Oreochromis niloticus: one gene and its partner. The protein of the gene in region 2 interacts with the protein of the main gene of each other region in a pairwise test. Links are inferred from orthologs where the notes say so. Each region holds a gene or a part of one and is shown on either strand. Other genes may lie near its edges.

Region 1 (9,363 bases), on a different chromosome or scaffold from region 2:
TTAAGTTTGTGTCTCTTAAAAAAGGAATTAGGGCATCACCTGCTTTATCGACTTAAAATAAATCTGCAACTTTCAATTCTAACACTTGTGAAACGTGTGAACAAAATTCAGTATGAAAAATATATCTGTTAAAGACGACTTTACATATAAAATAAACATGTTGTGATATTGTATTGTATTGTTAGATATTAGAATATGTTAGAATGTGACATTTATTATGCAGCCAAAAGAAAATGTCTAATATGAGAAAAAGTATGAAAAAGAACAAACTCAGATTTTACCTTTCTGTTTCTTGGAAAATACACTGCACTAATAATAGAGGTGTAGAAAAACCCTGGAGTTGTACAAAAGTACACAAAGAGGTAAACAGGTAAACTAAATAGAAAAAACTGAGAGAGCAGGTAAATGAGACGTGTTGTATAAACTGTCATGAGTACATTTATTGTATGACAATTATGCAGCACCTCCAGTACAGAAATTGTAATACATGCGTCACACATTTGGATCTTGGTGTGTGCAAAGTAAAAGCTATGCACAAAGATTTCTTTATATATTGATCCATACATTCATCCTGCGGCTATGGAAACATTTCCCTGAATTAAACACACATAAGTACATATTTATTATAATTTAATGAACAGGTTAAACGTCATTATCTCAATCTAGTGTTCAGTAAACGTTTACTTTGAGGCAGTGGTTAATATTTTGGAGCACAAATGATGAAGACTGAAAGGCCTGGCACTACTACTTTATCTTTTTTACTTCTTTAAAGACAAAAACCTTTGGATTTCTGACAACTGCAAAACACCATGATGTTGGTTTGATGGGCATTCGAGGATATAATAACCCTGAAATATGATGACAGTTCCTTAAATAAAACATAAACTAAAGTTAATATTTGTCTTTAAGCAACTTCTCATGCACACCTTTCAATTTTTTATACTTTTGGAAAGTTACTTGGCTTCAATTTCTTACAAGTTTATAGGACTTATAGAACTTATAGAGATACCCCAAGTATTTTTTAAACATGGAGATATAGATGAATTATAGATAACCACCCAGTTAGGTTATCCAAAGCATCACAGGTGTCTCCTGTCAAATGTAAAGGTTTATGTGTCTTTCTGAAAGTTTGAGTGCATACTGAACATGTTTTTTCCCACCCCTGTAAATTTCCTGCTCTCTTATTTCCCTGCACTTTTCCCCAGAGTGGCGATGTCTTTATTCTCCAGGATCTCCGTCTTCTGCTCAGGTTGAAGCACAGTGTTTGACACCATTGCTTTGGCCACCTCTTGGATTGGCACAGCCATGGATCTAAATCCAACAGCAGACACGGTGCTAAAGAACTTCCTCGCCATCCACTCAGCGGGACGACTCTCCTGCCTATCCACCAACAAAACCCTGTGGAGAAAAAGTACAAAAGGTAAGACTGAGAGATTGTATCTGGTTAGATCACACTGACTGATGAAATGCCACTTCACCTTCAGAAGAATGAATTTACAAGAGTTTAATTACAGAAAAGTCACACTGTGTCATGTTCGTTGTGAATTTCCCTAAGTTGTTGCCACATTAGCAGAAGTCACACATGACTCTTCTTTTAGAGAATGATCATCCCAGATTTTACTTTTTTATTGCTCTAATCAACTCTATGCAGCCACAGCCCTATATATTTTCTAGGTAGGTGTTCCTCATCCCTTCAATTCATGTAATTTGCAGCAGCCTATTTACTAGGTACACCTCACTGATACCTGGTTGTATCCGCTTTGGCCTTTAGACCTTTAGTTATTATTTTTTAATACAAGGCAGGAAGGGTCCATGATTTCATCTTGTTTATACGATGAAAAATGTCACAGTAGAAATAAAGACTCATTTTTCCTATCTTCCATTATCCAGCTTTGGTGAGCTTGTGTGAACTAAGGCCTCAGTTTCTGAAATACTTAGACGAGTTTGTACAAACAGCCATGTTCATACTCAATTCACATTTCGTCCTCATTCTGATGCTCAGTTGAGCAGTTAAATGTACCTAATAAAGTGGCTAGTGAGTGTATATTTACAGGCTCTGTAACGGCCAGTACAATCTAGTTTCTAAGAAAGAGGGTTTGTTTTGTGATAACTTGTGTAATTTTGGGGGGCTATGTGCTATTTTCAAATAAATTTATGGTTTAAAAACACTCAATCCTGCTCCTGTTTACTTTTTTTACACAGCGCCTTGGCTCTTTTTGAAAAGAGGCTCTAAGTGAGATCACTCACCCTGGTCTGTAAATGGCGAATCTGTCAAAACCAAGGGCCTCGATGTCTGCCTCTACTTGTCCCTGGAAGAACAGTCATTAATTTTAGGACTCCAAGAAAGTTTAGCTGAGGAAATTTCAGGATGTTAAGTCAAAAACATACTTTGACTTTGAGGTAAAGGAAGCCGCTTTTTTTATTTGCTCCCCTGGAAGACTCCAGGTGGAACTGTGTGCAGCCTCCAGCTTTGGCGAGCTCAGCTGATTTTAGAACATAGTCATGATCAACTCTGATGAATCCTTCCTGAAACAGAAGAATGCACTTAATGAAATAGGACCCAAAAAAAGACCAACATTTTTACATTTCAATTTTGGTGACTGTCACTGATGTATATCGTTTCCATATGTATAATATGGGTAAATATTTTTCATTAGGAGCTCTGAAATAAGTCATTGTAGCCAAATTATACCTCCATGATTTAGAAGTGCTCTGAGAGACATGATATGTAATAACATTGCTGCTTCTAAATTACCTCAAAGCAATGTTTTATAACTTAGTGGCATAACAGATATTACAAAATAAGCCAGTGTCTATAAAAATAGCCCATGAGCCTTGTCAATTTATTAGCTGTGTTAATGGAAATGTTAGCCAAATTAATGTGGGTGACACAGCTCAGTTATTGTTACTGCTGAGTCATAGTTACTGTTAACAAACTAAGGTTTGGCTATGGCCGACAGCCACAGTGAAACAGTAAAATCTTATCATTTGGTTGTCAAGTTCCCGTGCTGGATTGAGACCACTCACAGCTCCTGCTTTAGCTCTGGTTGTTCCCAGGCAGCAGTATCCAACATCATGGCCCTGGAAGGCAGCAGCATAATCATCAAGCTTCTCAAAGTCGACCACCTCTTGGACCTGGGGCCACAGAAAACAGTGCTTAAGAAAAAAATTTTTTACTGGCCTTATTATTACAAGTTTGGTCAACTGATCAGCCCACTAACCAGGTTTTCATAAGTTTTGCCCTCAAAGGTGAGCTGCCTCCTTCCAATAAGAGTAATCTTAGAGAAAATATTACGCTCCAGCAGCTCTTGAAGCAACACCTTGCCAGTTTCCCCTGAAGCGCCTAGGATGAAACAGCTTTTGTTCTGCTGCCTGAAGTTTTCTTCTAGGGTCTTGATGTCCTCAGCCATACTGTTAACAACAGACAGCCCTGTCATGTAAATATCACGCGTTTAATGCACATGTAAATCTGAACAGTACCGTTTAGCACCTCGGTGGGCAGCTATAATCGAGGGTGAAACAAAGTATTAAATACTGGTTAATAGTGACTACCAGTTATGATTATTTGCGATAAATTTACGGAATTCAGAAATCGGTGTTAAGGGGACTACGACTACCAAGAGGAAAGATCACATTAAATTCATGTACTCGTGAATGGAGGTTGGCTTGACCGATCTGACAGTGGCATATTTAGCATGTATGTAACTAAATACAGCTCGGTGTCGAGTATAAATTCGTTAACGTTAACAAAGACGAGCGCGTGTCATTACCTCGTGTATTTAACCGTTTCGGAATCTTCGAAATAATTTAAGGTCGCTGCGATGAAAACAACCAGGACAGTGAAAAATCCTAATGTCTTCCCCAGGGTGGTGCACAGCAGTTTAATAACAGGCATCGCTGATAGCAACGATTAAAGTGCTGCAACACTTCCTGGTTGCTTCATATTTACACAAACGGCGCTGTCTTCCTGCTTCGTTGATAGGCCGAGGAAGAAATCTAAAATGACAGCGTGCCGCTGGCAGTTTAATACACGAAACCGACACACAGCAGACTGCGAACTTTATGTTTGTATTAAACTGCAGCATGATATATAAGCAAACCAAAGGGATGCTATAAACACGCCTCGCTCCGCTCCATATCAACGCAGACAACGCTTTACGGACAGCGCATGCGCTCTGGAGGTTTGAATCTGTAATGCATCCAGTTTTTAGTTTGTGCACAATTTTCCTCTCCTATACCACGAGGTTTTTGTTTTTGTTTTTGCGGCAAACGTGGCTCAGTGTAAGTGTGTCTTTGCTTTACCCCGCACAGTAAAGCGGTTTATGCTGGCAAAACCAGAGGTGTAGGCTACTGTTTAAGGGTGTGAAAATCAATGTCTTCAAGCTCTTGGTAAACTAATGTTAATTAGCTGATGCTGATCGCATCAGCATCATATTTTTGCTTTATAACACAGGGAAGTATCCTGCTGAAAGAGGCCACAGCCAGGGGCAGGGAATAGGATGCAATGCTTAGGTAGGTGCAACATGTAAAAGTACAAGCACATGGATGGCAGTACACAAGGTATCCCAGCAGAATATTACCCAAAGCAACACACTGTCTCTGCCAACAAGGACTGGTCTGCGGCTAGTTAGTTAGCTACATGTATTTGATAAGGACAGGACATGAGACAATGTTACATGATAAAACAATGCAACCGTTGTTTTGTACAAAGGTCTTCTAGCTAAAGGCTAGAAAACCCAGTCCGTGGTTGGACTTTAAAAAAAAAAAAAAATACAGCAGAAATAAAACTAATCCGTCCACAAATACACACACACTCACTCAGAGTTACTTTAACTAATAGCAGGAGATGCATGGCCATGTCGTGTTATCCAACCACAGCAAAGCAGGCTGGTTTACATCAGTATCCAGAGATTTGTTTTTGTTTCAGCCATTGTTTCACCTGGGAATTAAAAACCCTAGAATCTGTTAACATTTTTATTGCAGATGGTAAACTGTTCCCATAATCTGAGGACCTTTGAGTGAGAACCAGGATTGAGCAAATTATGTTTTCTATTTTGGTAGTTTGCGGTCTCTATGAGCTACTCTTCTTGTTACTGCTGGCTTTTAGCATCATACTGCTCACTAACTCTGGGACAAGACCATTGATGCATTTAAAAGTTAGTTTAAAAAAGAGAAGTCCCAAAATTGTATCAAAGCTTAAGAGAATGTTTTTCTCCAGTATTTTACAGTGGTGTCACTTCATTAGTTTCTGGTCTAAAACTTTCAGTGCTTGTTTATACCACACCATCATGGGTTTTAAAGTAGACTGAGTTACTTGGCTCCAAACAGTGACACAGTATGAGAGATGACACAGAATCATGCAGGTACAAATGAGCAGCTTTTCCATATAAACATGAACCTATACAACAGAAACAGTTTATGTTGATCTTAATGGTTCTGGATACTTTCCTGATGTGAGTCTCAAAATTAACATGGGAATCCAAGATGACACCCAGATATTTAAACTCATCCACTTTTTGGATTTCTCTCTGATTTACACCGGATTGTAAAACACATGAGACCGTTTTGTTGCAGTTTAGAGTCAAAGAGTGATTCTTGAACTACTAAGACACTCCCACCATCTTTCTGAGCCAGACCCAGGTTTAATTTAGTTTCTGACCCAGTCGGCTAGCCACTACAATTTGTCCCTTGTCAAACTCACTCAAATCCTAAAGATTCCCTATTTTTCCTGCTTGTAACACACAAACTCTAAGCACAAAATATTCATTTGCTCTCTAAAATAACCCACCCATTAACAGAACACCATAAAGGACCAAACATGGTCAACTAGACCAATATTATACCTAGACCTATAATCTATACATAGGTAAATGATTATTTCACTGGAGCTGAACACATTTGTAATTGCTTAGTCAGAGCAGCTCATGCTGTTGAAAAACATAAAAAGTTACATAGAAAATATGCTTACACGACCTCATGTCATGCCAATGCTTTAGAGGAAAATTAGGTTAAAATAAACCTTAAGGCAGAAGAAGAAAGGTCAGGAAGAAGACACGCAGTAAATGGCCTTGGGGTAGATTTGAACCTAAGTCTCTGCATTAGCTTTGCGGCATGTGGGTCACCTGCTCAACCCTGTAGAGCTAAACCTGCTTTCCACTATGTGTATTCTTACAGTGGTTAAAGCTATTCACACAACAGGTGCTGTGTATGGGGAGAAAAGATGATGAATAGCTTTTAAAATTGTTATTGAAATAGAATAAACCAGGTCTCTTCTCCCAAAAGTTGAAGTTGTAGGAAAAGCAACACTTTAGTCTGCTGGTGAAGAAATCCAGCGTGGATCTAGAGTTGGACCAAACCTTAAAAAATGTCTTTGCCTTTTGTCAGATCTTCAGGGGGTTTCATTAGTCAAAACCTCCACACAAAGAAAGCAAGTCCAGTCACATGCAATGAATTCATCAACACCCCATGTTTTTAACACCCCTGCCACTTTGAACACAAGGCATCGACCCAATCTAATAGAATATGATGGAGCCAGGGATGATCCTTTAAAGATGTCAGCAGTAAGAGACAGAAAGAAAATAGGCTGAGGTTGAGAGAAGAGGCCTTAAACTGGCACTCTGCTGAAATGAAATGTCGCCTCTTTGTTCCTTAGCCACGGGTGCTAATTGGAGCTAGCGGCAGGGAAGAAAGCTGCCGCTGGGCTCCTGTCTGTCGCACCTGTTGAGTCATTGTCTCTCACATTGATCAGACAGGAAGTTGGAGTAAGAAGGCTTATGCCTCAGTGGGTGCGTGGCAGAAACGTGGTTCAATTTCCTTTTAGAACTCCGCCGTTGGAGGTGAAAATACCAATGGTGGTCAGTGGTCAATTGCATTTGACCATTGATTAGTCTCTAAAAGGACATATGGATCATAAAGAGTTGGTTTTCCGTCAGTCGTTCCTTTTACTTTACACTTCAGTTATAGCATTTACCCAATATTGCATAACAGGTGTGTTATGCAATGTTAACAAAAACATTTTCATGCAACACTAACTTTGACAATAGTTGGTGGGTAAGCATCATGCTTTATTATACCCTGGTCCCAGCTATTGATGTCAGTATTTAAATTAATACCCAAATTCTCACATTTTTATTTTGACTTTAGATGAAGGTGAAAAATTTGGTTGACCAGAAATATTTAAAAGCTTTTTGGCTCATGCAGTTAAGAAGTTACTGTTTTCACCTCATATACATTTTATTTGTGTTCAGAATTAGATATAATATAACTGTTTGAGACTGCAGGTGTCAGTCATCTGCAGTCTCAAACAGTTTTCCATGTTTACATCAAACTGAACTTGGCTGAAGTCTGCCAACACTTCAGCTTCAGAGTACAATTTAAACATCTTGACAACTGTTTAAAAGTTTCATTTTAAAGTGTTAACTGCTGATATATGATTGAATCCCTGGACACCAAACTAAGATGAACATAACTAATTATAGATAAGATTTTGTGTTTGTGTGTATGTTCTGAAATGTATATTTCTTTGAAGCAAATAAAACGACTGATACGACCAATTAAGACAAATAAAAAGCGCATACATGCATGCCTGTATATACACATCACATACAGACACACACACACACACACACACACACACACACACACACACACACACAATCTGTACGCCAACACAGCTTAAGGCTTAAGGCCCCAGTTCCACAGACTCTGGAGTGTGATGCTAATGATGGTAATTAATGGAGCCTGACAGCACAATCTGCTGCCCATTGTCTCCCAATAAACAGCTTTACAGTCCACATGAGCCTCAGAGGGGAAGGGAGTTTTAAGCTGAGAGCTGAGACAGTGAGAGCAGGAGGCAGCCAGAGTGGAGGGTCAGACCTCAGGGGACAACGCTCAAACTGAAGTGGGGGATTAGCTCAATTAGAAAGGCACTGTCTAATCAAGATGGAGGGTTCAGTGATATCGATGGTGCATCTGTGAGGGAGAGATGTGAGCAAAGCTCCATCATTAAAGCCGACTGTTGCCATCAGATGTTGCAGAGTCTACTAATGTGAACAATAGTTAAAAAATGTGTCTTTTGTCTTTTTGCTGACCTTAGTTCATTTTTCCATACATTTCAATGGGAAATCATCTCTATTGTGTTCTGTGGTCCAAATGATAATATATCCATGAATATTTTAGGGTGCCTAAAGTGAACTTATTACTGGGCAATGTCATTAGTTTAAAAAATCGTTTGGATTTTTTTCTCTCCCCACTTGATTCATTGATTTTATTTATTGACAGTGTTTTGTCACTACATGTTTTGCACTTTTGGCATGTTAAAGACATACATATACATAGACATAGACATAGACATATACAGGACATATAAACTTGCACTTTTTATAAAAACATACATGTAGTAAAGAGAACTTTTTAAGTTATTCTACGCAATGCAAAAAAGTTTTCCCCTTGAAGTTCCATCTAAGCAAGAAAAGCATGTGTTATCTGAACTAAAATCCCTGTAAATAAGTAGCGAAGGTTTTAATTCAATATGAATCTCTTTTTTATCTGTCTTTGCCTGTCTGTGCCTAAACAGTTTTTTGTTTAAAATCTAACAAAAATAAAGTCACATAAAAACAGCCAGCCTATGTTTTACAAATTTTCCATGGAGTCTATGGAAATTTAAAAAAGAGAAGTTTTGACTTTAAAGGCTTTTAAAGGCTCATCTCATCAGTTTTAAGTTTAAAAAAATGGCATGGTAAGATAAAGGCCCAGTCTTCCTCAGGCTCAGCTTTGTTGCAGGCTCAGACTTTTGCAATATGTTTGAGCCAAATCAAGGTATCAGCTGGACTCAGAGGAGCTTTCCTGCTCAAAGAGCCACAGCTAAGCAGCAATGACACCTGCTTTTTCCTTCTTTACTGAACAATGAGCTCATTACAAGAGCAAACAGATTGTCAGTGTTTTTCAATAGATGATCCTGAGGAGTCTGGGGGACCTAGCAGCTCCCAGCAGGTAGAGTTAAGACTACCCATGCACATCTGGCTGACCTGCTGGTTTCTGCTGTCTTAAAACTGCACAAACATCTTTGTGCACTTAAATAAGACACATTGCAAACTCTATTATCTTCTCTGAAAACAAACTTCACAGTATGAAATCTAGGTCTAAACAACAAGCTGTGACATAAAGAACATGATTTGTCTTGACCTTTGAACATCAAAGTGTCTCACTTTGCTTGAAGCATGAGGCCATGTTTCCAAGTCTGCCAGTACTGAAACTGAAAGTTCACAGCAAAGTTATGAGGTAATTGCCAAAAGGCTCTGAGCGTTTGGCTAATTAACCTGGGAGTTTTTGCATCTGCCCGTCTGTCAGGGTTTTCTGGAAAGA
Region 2 (9,363 bases):
CTTTTCACAATATATGACTTTAATGGAATAAGTCAGACGTCTTTAAAAAAAAAGAAACATAACAAGATTTGCAGTATGGAAAAACGGGGACAAAGACACAACTGAACATGACGTTTCCTTTTCCGTATACTGAGCAAGCCAATTCAATACGAAGTCTGCTGGGATGGCTAAGAGGTTCGATAAACATGTGAACAATGGCCTCGCTGTCCTGCGCGCTCCACAGCCTACATCACAGGCTGAGGGAGAGCTGTGGAGGATGGAAGCTTCTGCAGTGTTTGGTCCCTGTCAGGTTTGTCTGCAAGGATTTCATTTCCATGAGGTACGACAGCATGTGCGATGGAGGAGATGGAGAAATCGACAGCAGCTGTTGACACTACTACCAGGAGGCTTGGTCTGTGTGTGTGTGTTCAATTCAAAGATGGCTCCAACATTCCACTCACCTCTGTCACTTCCTCTGCTCACATCTGCTGCTTTGCGTTTTAAAAACAGTGACACAGTAGTTAGAGCTCCAGCTGCTGCGCAGCCACAGCCAACACAAAACAAGCATACACACTGCGTTTGTGTGAAAGTGCAACAGTGGCATGCTCTGACAAAACCACAATCTGTACGTGGTAGCAGCACCGTGATAATGTAGCACATCAACTGTTTCTCCTCAGACTCCCACTGATCTGTGTGCTACCCTGCTTATGTCACACCATGATTCACCTGAAGATTAGAGAAACTACTATTTACGTCTCACATGTTTAGTTTACAGTGTTCTCACTCATGAGTGAACATGCTTACTCAGATGATATGGATACAAAAAGCTGTTTTTAGAGATTAAACACACTATTAAACCAATAGTACTCAATAGACAACTGTGCTGTTTGAAAATGCTAAATTAAAACACTTTAAATATCCTAAAAGAGATAGTAGAACGGGCAATCATAAGGAGGAGGAAGTTATGCTCACTCTGCTTCAGTGAGATTGTTTCTTCCCAAGGCAAACTGCGAGCAAAAGATACGAATGTTTTCTGGAAACACTGAAGACTGGGACTGCGTGGCTCTGCTGGGTTCCTGTCATCTACGGCTCTTACATGGTACTGCAGTGCTTTTGTTCAGTATTTGTACACCAACACCGGCTCAGACATGTCTAACCTATTTCCTTACTGACAACCTGAATGCTTTAGATGCAAGTGGGCATTTTCTGAAAATAATTTATAAGTCAAGCTTTAGTTAATAAAAAACTGAGGTCATTAGTGAGTCCATCTTTAGACAGTCTTAGCTGTGAGAGTCATATCCCCTTAAAATCAATCAAAGCACATAAATGCCCATTAACATTAAAGAAAACTCTTTTTGCTTGTAGACAGAAACAATTGAGCACTACACAATATGCATGTAGATTAAAAACTAATACATACTATTATATTTAGCACTTAATAACCTAAATGTTTAAACAACTTTCTGAGCTCAGTTTGAGTGGGAGAGCAGAGAAAAACAGACCAGCTAGGGGCAGCTTTGAAGTGGTGGTAATACACACATTACAAGAAGATGGCAGCCAAATATGCACTCCTCATATATGGTTTAATGTTATATTGTTAATTGGCAGTTATGTGACAACAGTGGAGAAGAACACAAGAGTTTCTACTAAGAGTGAATATGCAAAAAAATATTTTTAAACATGTCACCACTCATATATCATTCATTGGACAGTTTATTAGCTTCAACCACTCATTAACACAAACCTAAATCAGCCAATCACATGGCTGATGGCTTATAGCCTTGCTGAAGTTCAAACAGAGCATTAGAATGAGGAAGAAAGGTGATTAAATCGACTCTGAATGACATGTGCCGGTCTGAGTATTTCAGAAACTGGGATTTTACCACACAAACATCTTGAGGGTTTATAGAGAATGGTTCAAAAAAAGGAACAACTATTCAGTGACCTTTTTTAACATGGCTTAGGATAACGCACCATATCTCACACACAGTTACCAGATGCCAATCCAACCTAGCACCCTTGGGATGTTGTGGATTTGCATTATAGGCATGCAGAAAATAAATCTGCAGCAATATAGACCAAAATCTCGGAGGATTGTTTCCAGCTCCTTGTTTTATCCTTGCCAGGAAGAATGAAGGAGGTTATGATGGCAGAAGATGGTCCAACCTAATACTAACCACGTGTACCTAATCAATTGGCCAGTGAGCTGACTTATTAAACAAGGCTTTTAGCACAAACTGTGGCACACCATGTGGTACAAGGACAAATACATGCTCCTCACACACACACACACACACCTGGGCACCTCACGCCTCACGAATAAGGACATGCTTTGTTGCCACACTCGGTTTAATCAAGAGTTTCAACAGTCTGTCTGAAGAACACGAACACAAAGCATGAGATTAAATTAAGAAAAGGGAACTCTAAAACTTCCCATGGTGGCTCATGTGACTCTTTGCATGTCACAAGAGATAAAATGGTCAGCCTTGTGTTGTGTAACGTAGTGTGTCAGGCAGTACTTGTGTGACTTCAGACAGAGTGACACTGGGACACGCCCGATAGATTTTCTTCCCCAGTGAAGAAGTTAGCTAGTGAATGTACCAAAAGCAGAATTCACTTAAGCTGTTCTATCAGCGTGTGTGTGTGTGTGTGTGTGTGTGTGTGTGTGTGTGTGTGTCCTTACCGCAGCTCTTGCATCAGCCATCCTGGCTTTCTTTAGTCTGGTTTTGGCTGCATCCAGATCCAGGCGTTTGACCTGCAGCAGCTTCCTCTCTTTCTGGACACAAATCACAACATAAAAGTCTCACAGATAAACGACACATGGACACAGCACAGTGTAAACAAGGCTTCTACTTCATTCATCAGTGTTTACTTTAGATTATAACACGATTAAAAGGGCTTGTTTTCTATAATCACAATGTGAGTTTGCACACACCTGACATAGTCTGAACACTAAACTCTAAACTGAAGTGAGCATAATGTACAGACTTCAACAGGATCTTTCAGTACTTTGTAAAATAATGGCTACAATCATTAAAGCTGTACTCGTGGACCCTCTGCAGCCGTCACTGTTGTGAATGAGATCCAGATTTAAAGGTCAAAGTCCGGGTAAAAGTGAAAGTGATTCAGGACAGGTAGCCTGCGGTTCCAACTCACCAGAATAGTTTTGAAGTCGCCCTCTAAAAAGTTTCTGAACGGTGTCAGGAAGTTGATGGCGGCACTCTGGATGAACTCCCGCTCCGCCCCACCAATCTGCTTCTCCGTCTCTCCACATTTTATCAGAGCGTTTCCTACAATGGTCAGCAGCAAAAGGAAAGTTTAGTGCCAGCAGAACACTTGGGAGGGAGAATGGTGATATTGTTTCAGCTTGACACTGATAAGTGGCCTGGCTGGGACTGAAAATAGCAGAAGATGGTTCAGAAAATCATCAAAATGTTCTTTAAAACAAACAAACCAGAGTTTAACTCATTTTTACAAGTCTTCATGAGACAGACAAACAAGCTGATGATGTTTTGAGAAATATTTAGAGATTTTTAAGATTAGGCTTAAAAATCTTTCCTTTGGATAAAGCTTATAGTTAGGGCTGGATCGGGTAACTGGATCCTTAGTGATGCTGCAACAGACCTAGGCTACTGGGAGCTACCCATGATGCACTGCATTTCCTCTTTTTTCACTCTCTGTTTACACACCACCCAGCATGTAACCAGTAGTTATTATTAATCTCTGGCTCTCTTCCACAGTGTGTCTTTTGCCCCGTCTCCCTCCCTGCTAACCAAGTAACTGCCCCTCCCTGAGCCTGGTTCTGTGGTATGTTTCCTCCTGTTAAAAGGGCGTTTTTCCTTCTCACTGTCAACCGTGCATTTATATTCTATTAACAACTGAACAACTAGAGCGACCGTCATTTCTTTTAGCCTTTTGTCCACTGTGTAATGTCAGGAGGCTTGCTAATGATCAAACTACTCTGACTTGAGTTGCTGTAGGCCTCTTTTAGTTGCCTTTGTAGAATTTCTATTATTTTTTGTTAAAGATTCAAATCAACAAAATAAAGACCACAAAGTTTCAGCTCAGCTGGTGTTCCCAGTAGGACTGGGGTCATCTCAGGTTGATTGCTCCGACTGTGCAAATTCTCATTAAACTCACAACAACATTACTTTAAGAAGGACAAAAAAAAATCTCCATCAATAGTAGCTAATTATTTCTGGAAAAGGAACAGACTACCTGGGAAAACTGGGGCATGTTTTAGGTTTTTCTGCCAGATTTGCTGTTTAATGTATGAGGCTTTGTGAGTGAACAAATCAAAGCCAGAGTAGCTTTGGTCTATTGGCTTTCTAACGGCAGATGCATCCCGCCACAGCTGAGAGAGGCCTATTAGCATAATTATTAGCATTACTCAGACATCATGAGACTATGTGCAAGTGCAGACTACCTGGCTCAAAGTCTTTTCCCATTTTAATACACAAAACAAAGTGAAAATAATCAAATATGGTGCAAATATTAGGTTTTTTATGTGTATAATAATAATAACAATAATAATAATAATAATAATAATGATCATGATAATAATAATCCCTGTGTATTTATAATTTATGCAGTCTAACTGGGCTAGCCGCTCTGTAGCTGATTTATTTAATCTGGAGGTAATGTACAGACTTTCTTTCCCTGAGCAAAGACAGTCTTTGATCGACTACAGCCCCAGTACCTGTCAGTGTTTCACCGTGGCACTCACCATAGGCAGTTCCAGGACCAAATTCATTCCCTGATTCAATCATGGACTGTCCCAGCAGCTCATGATTGTTCATACGTGTGCGGACCTTCTTCTCCAGTTTCTCATAAACAAATTCTTCTAGCCGGACATCTGCAGAGCGCAAGAAGAAAACTCAATTACAAAGTCACAGGACTACAGTGAGCGAGCCAAATGCAGGGAGTGACTTTAGTATGCTTCAGACAGCCCGACTTAAAGACCCACACTGAAAGCTTTCATTGTGACAGCTATGACAAACTACAAGCCAGCGTCTCTCTGAAACCGCTGTAATTTGTTTCATGTTACTACATCATGTGAAAGATTATCTGTGCTGTGTTTAACGTGAACACAATAACATCCAGTTTACCATGTCTACGACTATTGCACAAGACTGCAACCGCCAGATGGACGGTCTGTGTTTGTTGTGCCTATGCTGGTGTTCGGCTGCAGAGATGCGACATCATGGTGTGAAGTGAGGAGGATGCACAGCTGAGTTTACAGACTTCACAGGCACCCTACAAACCCGTGGAAGTCAAACACCCTCTCTGAGAAGTAAAGCTTTTAATGTGAGCCTTACTGGCAGCAACAAATCTTTCATCTTTATTGAGCTGCTCTTCAGGGAATTCCTGATTCCTGAATATCAGGTTGCAGGTCTATAAGAACATTGTGTGGGTGGGTGCCCTGTGCTGCTTAGAAATGTCAGTGTCAGTCCTTTGAAAGTCAAAAAGTGTGATCTTACTGGGGTTGGGCTGTAGTAAGACTTCTGTCTGCTTCATAATCTTTTCTGTCCATTGCTTGGTGCTCTCAGCTCTGACCAAAAGTTTCTCCAAATGGGCATCCAACTCTGTCTTTTCAGCCTGACCAAGCTTCTCTTCTGTAAACTGAAAAATTAAAAATATACGTTTACATTGCGCATGCCAGTTGTAGCTTTCACGGATGTATTCACAGATACACACAAGATGACTGAGGGTAAAAAGCTAAGCAACGTTATTAAGCTCGGAAAATAAAGGTTAGCGCTATCTGCCAGCTGCTGTTGATAGCTTCATGTGACGGTGTTGAGGCCTTCATTGATGGTTAAGTTGAACAAATAGCTTAGTGTTAACACGACCTGGGTGACGCACTCACTTTTTAAATACATTCTACAATGCAAATTATAGAAATTAACTTACAATTAGGTGTAACTGCTTAGCTACAAAGTAACAATCACGGTAACGTTAGCTCTTTAGCAAGGACGCTAACGCAACCTCACAGTGGCTAACGCTGACTAGCAACAATTCCCATGAACTAAATTGTTAGACTTACTTGTACCGCTCGGCTCAAAAAAGTACCGGCGTCTGCGGCTAGCCGTTTTACATTAAAATCCATGGCACAGCGGCGAAAATAAACACTTAATGTTAACAACTGGCTAGTCTCGCCCTCAAAGAGCCATCACTATACAAAATGTCATTGAAGCAACTTTTTTTTTGTCCAAGTTCCACCCAGCTGTTGAGCCAGGCAAAGATAGTATAGTGACAAGATTGTTCCCTTCCCTAACGTGTCAGTGGATATTGCGAATGCGCAAATAATATACGACGATGGGTGGGGACGTTGAAAATGCAGTTTAAATGTATGAAGAAAAGAAACGAAAGTGTTATCGTGGTACGATGCGAGGGACAGTAGTTGAGTGAAATAATATGCAAGTGCTGAAGCAAGTGAATTTTGTTCTAACAACCAAACAGTACCCTGAATATTCAATGGTGTCGCCGTATGACCAAAGGAACACAGTAGCGAGTAGGAGATTTCTCTCTTGCATTACAAGTAATCTTTGGATGCATTCACGTCACACGGAAACATTAGCCGCCATTGTATTTATTTTGATTTTGTACTTCTTAAAAAAAGCGAATTTTTAATTTTTTGTCTTTTTTTTTTTTTTCTAAAATTCTACTTTTTAATTTAACTGAGCCCGGTTTCCTTTTATTTTATTTACTTATTCTAATTTTCTCCTGCAACACAGGAATGTCTCAGCCTTTGGGAAAAATAAACTCTTTTTTTATCTTCTAAACTATAACAACTTTTTCATTTTATACTTCTCACTCATTCTGTAAACATTTCAATATAAGCTAGACATGGAAAAAATCCAGTTTTAACGAGGGCAAGTTTTTATCAGGGTGCTAACAGTAAAAAAAATAAATACTTTTTTCTTTTTTAAGTCACGTTAAGTTTCTTTTTTAAGACCTTTGCCATTCACTTATTCATGTGCCTTTGGTAACTGTGTGAAACTATTCTGTGAATCTTTCGTTATTATACCATTAATACAAATAAAAAGATTGTTGTTAATAATAATAATAATAATAATTTAAGGATACATTATTTCTATGTTTGACATCAACAGGAGGAGGTGGTGTTGGTTGGGTTTGTGGAGGCTCATCTGCCTCCTATAAACTAATTTGCAATTCCACTGAAAGTAAAGTGCACATTAGAGCACACACAGAACTGTTAAGTACACTTTTTCCATAAAAACTGCTGACACGTGTGCTGTACCCCATCAGTAACACAATATCTTTTGCAAACATCAGCCCTTTCTTCAAAAACATCTTAACAAAAGCAGAATTTGGAATAACAAAAACACTCTTCAGGTCTGGATGTGATTATGCCAAAGTGAGCCGGTTACCTGCTGTGTGGGAGGAAGTCAGGCAGAGGGAGACATCAAATGACTTCCCCTTGCAGGCTACCAACGCACAGTCAGCCTCAACCTTTCCACTCACCAAAACCTTGGCTCTGAGATTTCTTCATCCAAACATTAGTGCAGTCAGTGTTTAGGAAACATAGCTTAAAATCACACATAGCTCCCTTTTTTTCTTTGCTAAGATAACAAACAGTACCAGTTTAAATACACTGACTGACAGCGTTAACCAGTCAATCTCTGAATGTAAAACTTTTACTGGAAAAGCAACCCAGAGGCTCCAATGGGAGCCTACACTCAGATTTTTTTCTTCAAACCCACCCCATGTCAAAGATATCAAGGATTTGGCACTGCCTTATGTTTGGCTAACTTTCAGAAGTGTTGGGGCGGGTGCATTAAACATGTGAATATTAATGTCAGCACTTTCAGGAAGGCAGAACAGCTCCTGTGAGAGAGAAATAAGTGGCAGTCTCTGCGTGTTCCAGTAGTAAATCTGTGTGTATCTGCTCTTTCACTTCACAATAACAGAAAGTTCTCAAAGGAGTAAGAAGACAGAAACCCACTTAACTCTGACGGTTCAGCAAAACTACTCTCTCTCATCAGACATGCTTCCTAAGATTAGGAAATCCCTACTTTCCACTCCACAGGAAAGCAAACAGCAGACAAATACAAATGTCTCAGTAACACAAGTTTTTATTTGAGAATAGGTTACACAAGCTTTTACTGGGTTTTTTTACATGATGCAGCTTTGACCGAGCAAATAGATTCGAGTTTCATTCAGCACAAGACTTTAGAATGCAACTGTCATGGATAACTGTGCCAAAGTACATCTGCAACTTGAGAAAGTCTCTTAAAATGCAATTATCCACAAATTCTACATAGATGATGAATTTGTGGGGGGAAGAAATTCAAATTGAACTATGATTACTGAATCTTTTTGACCACTTTTTCAGCTAGCTCCAACAGCAGAGGGTATCTGAGCGTCCTCTTCCTCCAAGACTCTGGGATTCCCTGGAGGCCGATCTGAAAGCACATCGAGATGACAGCTGAAAGCATCAAGCAAGCACAAAGCTCTCGGCATATCTGAGCTCACTGTCAAACTCATCAAAGGAGCTCCAGGGGTGCACAGAACAACATGCAAAAAAGGATGGATTTTGGTGTCTCTTGCAGAGTAGATACATTTGGACTGGTTTGTGCTTGATGCCAATAAACACGTAGAATATTTTCTCCCATTAGTGCTGTATATCTCACATCTGTACTGGAAGCTTGTGGCTATTCTGACGCTGGTGATATCCCACCTACAGCTGTGCAAATATTGGTATTGGTGCAATGTCATCTGGCTGACGAGCTCACAGTTGAATGTCTTCACATTCTGGTGGTGTCACAGCTGTATGAGGTGCCGTTAATGTCTTTTCCTGATTCTGACTTTGCTGATTTTGTTTGTACCAAAGTAGCAACAGTATCCACTTACTCCATGTTGCCTTATCTTTTCAATGAACAATATGTAAAAAGTGTCAGTGTTGAATGTAAACACTTTTTTCTAGTCATACACTAATTTGGATAAGTCACTCATGGCTCTTTTTATGTGTCCATCAACCATGTTCCTACAGTACCTGTGCCCCAAAACAGGCTCCAATGAAGGAGGCTCGACTGGCGGTGCATCCCCCGCAGCGCATGGTGTCTCTGACTGCTTCGTCCAGCTGGTTGAGTGTCAGGACTCCATGAAGCGCTCCCTGGAACGCACCGGGCAAAGCTGGAAACAAATCCAGTATGAATGGCACATGGTTGTAACATCCACGTTACTGGGCTCTTTAATGTTTTTACTCTTCCTTATGATGCCACACTATGCTGTAATTCAGTTCAATTCAAATTAGTTTCATTTATATAGTGATAATTCCCATCAGTCAGTCAACACAAGATGCTTTATATTGTAAAGTAAAGACAATATGACAATGCAATATTAGACAGAACCCCATTGGAC

The links.
Region 1: the proteins of sh3glb1a (region 2) and htatip2 interact in binary tests that used the Homo sapiens proteins (3 or more experiments, as listed by UniProt). The link is inferred for Oreochromis niloticus from reciprocal best matches to the Homo sapiens genes SH3GLB1 and HTATIP2.

The regions. Positions count from the first base shown.
Region 1 is NC_031965.2:5,702,099-5,711,461, reverse strand, and holds htatip2 (oxidoreductase HTATIP2), read right to left. Parts: upstream 4,166-9,363; 5' UTR 3,896-4,165; coding exon 3,771-3,895; intron 3,431-3,770; exon of another isoform or gene 3,412-3,430; coding exon 3,222-3,411; intron 3,136-3,221; coding exon 3,028-3,135; intron 2,527-3,027; coding exon 2,389-2,526; intron 2,310-2,388; coding exon 2,248-2,309; intron 1,421-2,247; exon of another isoform or gene 1,399-1,420; coding exon 1,182-1,398; 3' UTR 589-1,181; downstream 1-588. UniProt on the Homo sapiens protein: Represses translation by preventing reactivation of elongation factor eEF1A. May also inhibit nuclear import by competing with nuclear import substrates for binding to a subset of nuclear transport receptors.
Region 2 is NC_031974.2:26,307,823-26,317,185, reverse strand, and holds the start of sh3glb1a (endophilin-B1a), read right to left. Parts: upstream 6,217-9,363; 5' UTR 6,086-6,216; coding exon 6,023-6,085; intron 5,602-6,022; coding exon 5,460-5,601; intron 4,835-5,459; coding exon 4,706-4,834; intron 3,270-4,705; coding exon 3,136-3,269; intron 2,756-3,135; coding exon 2,663-2,755; intron 1-2,662. UniProt on the Homo sapiens protein: May be required for normal outer mitochondrial membrane dynamics. Required for coatomer-mediated retrograde transport in certain cells. May recruit other proteins to membranes with high curvature. May promote membrane fusion.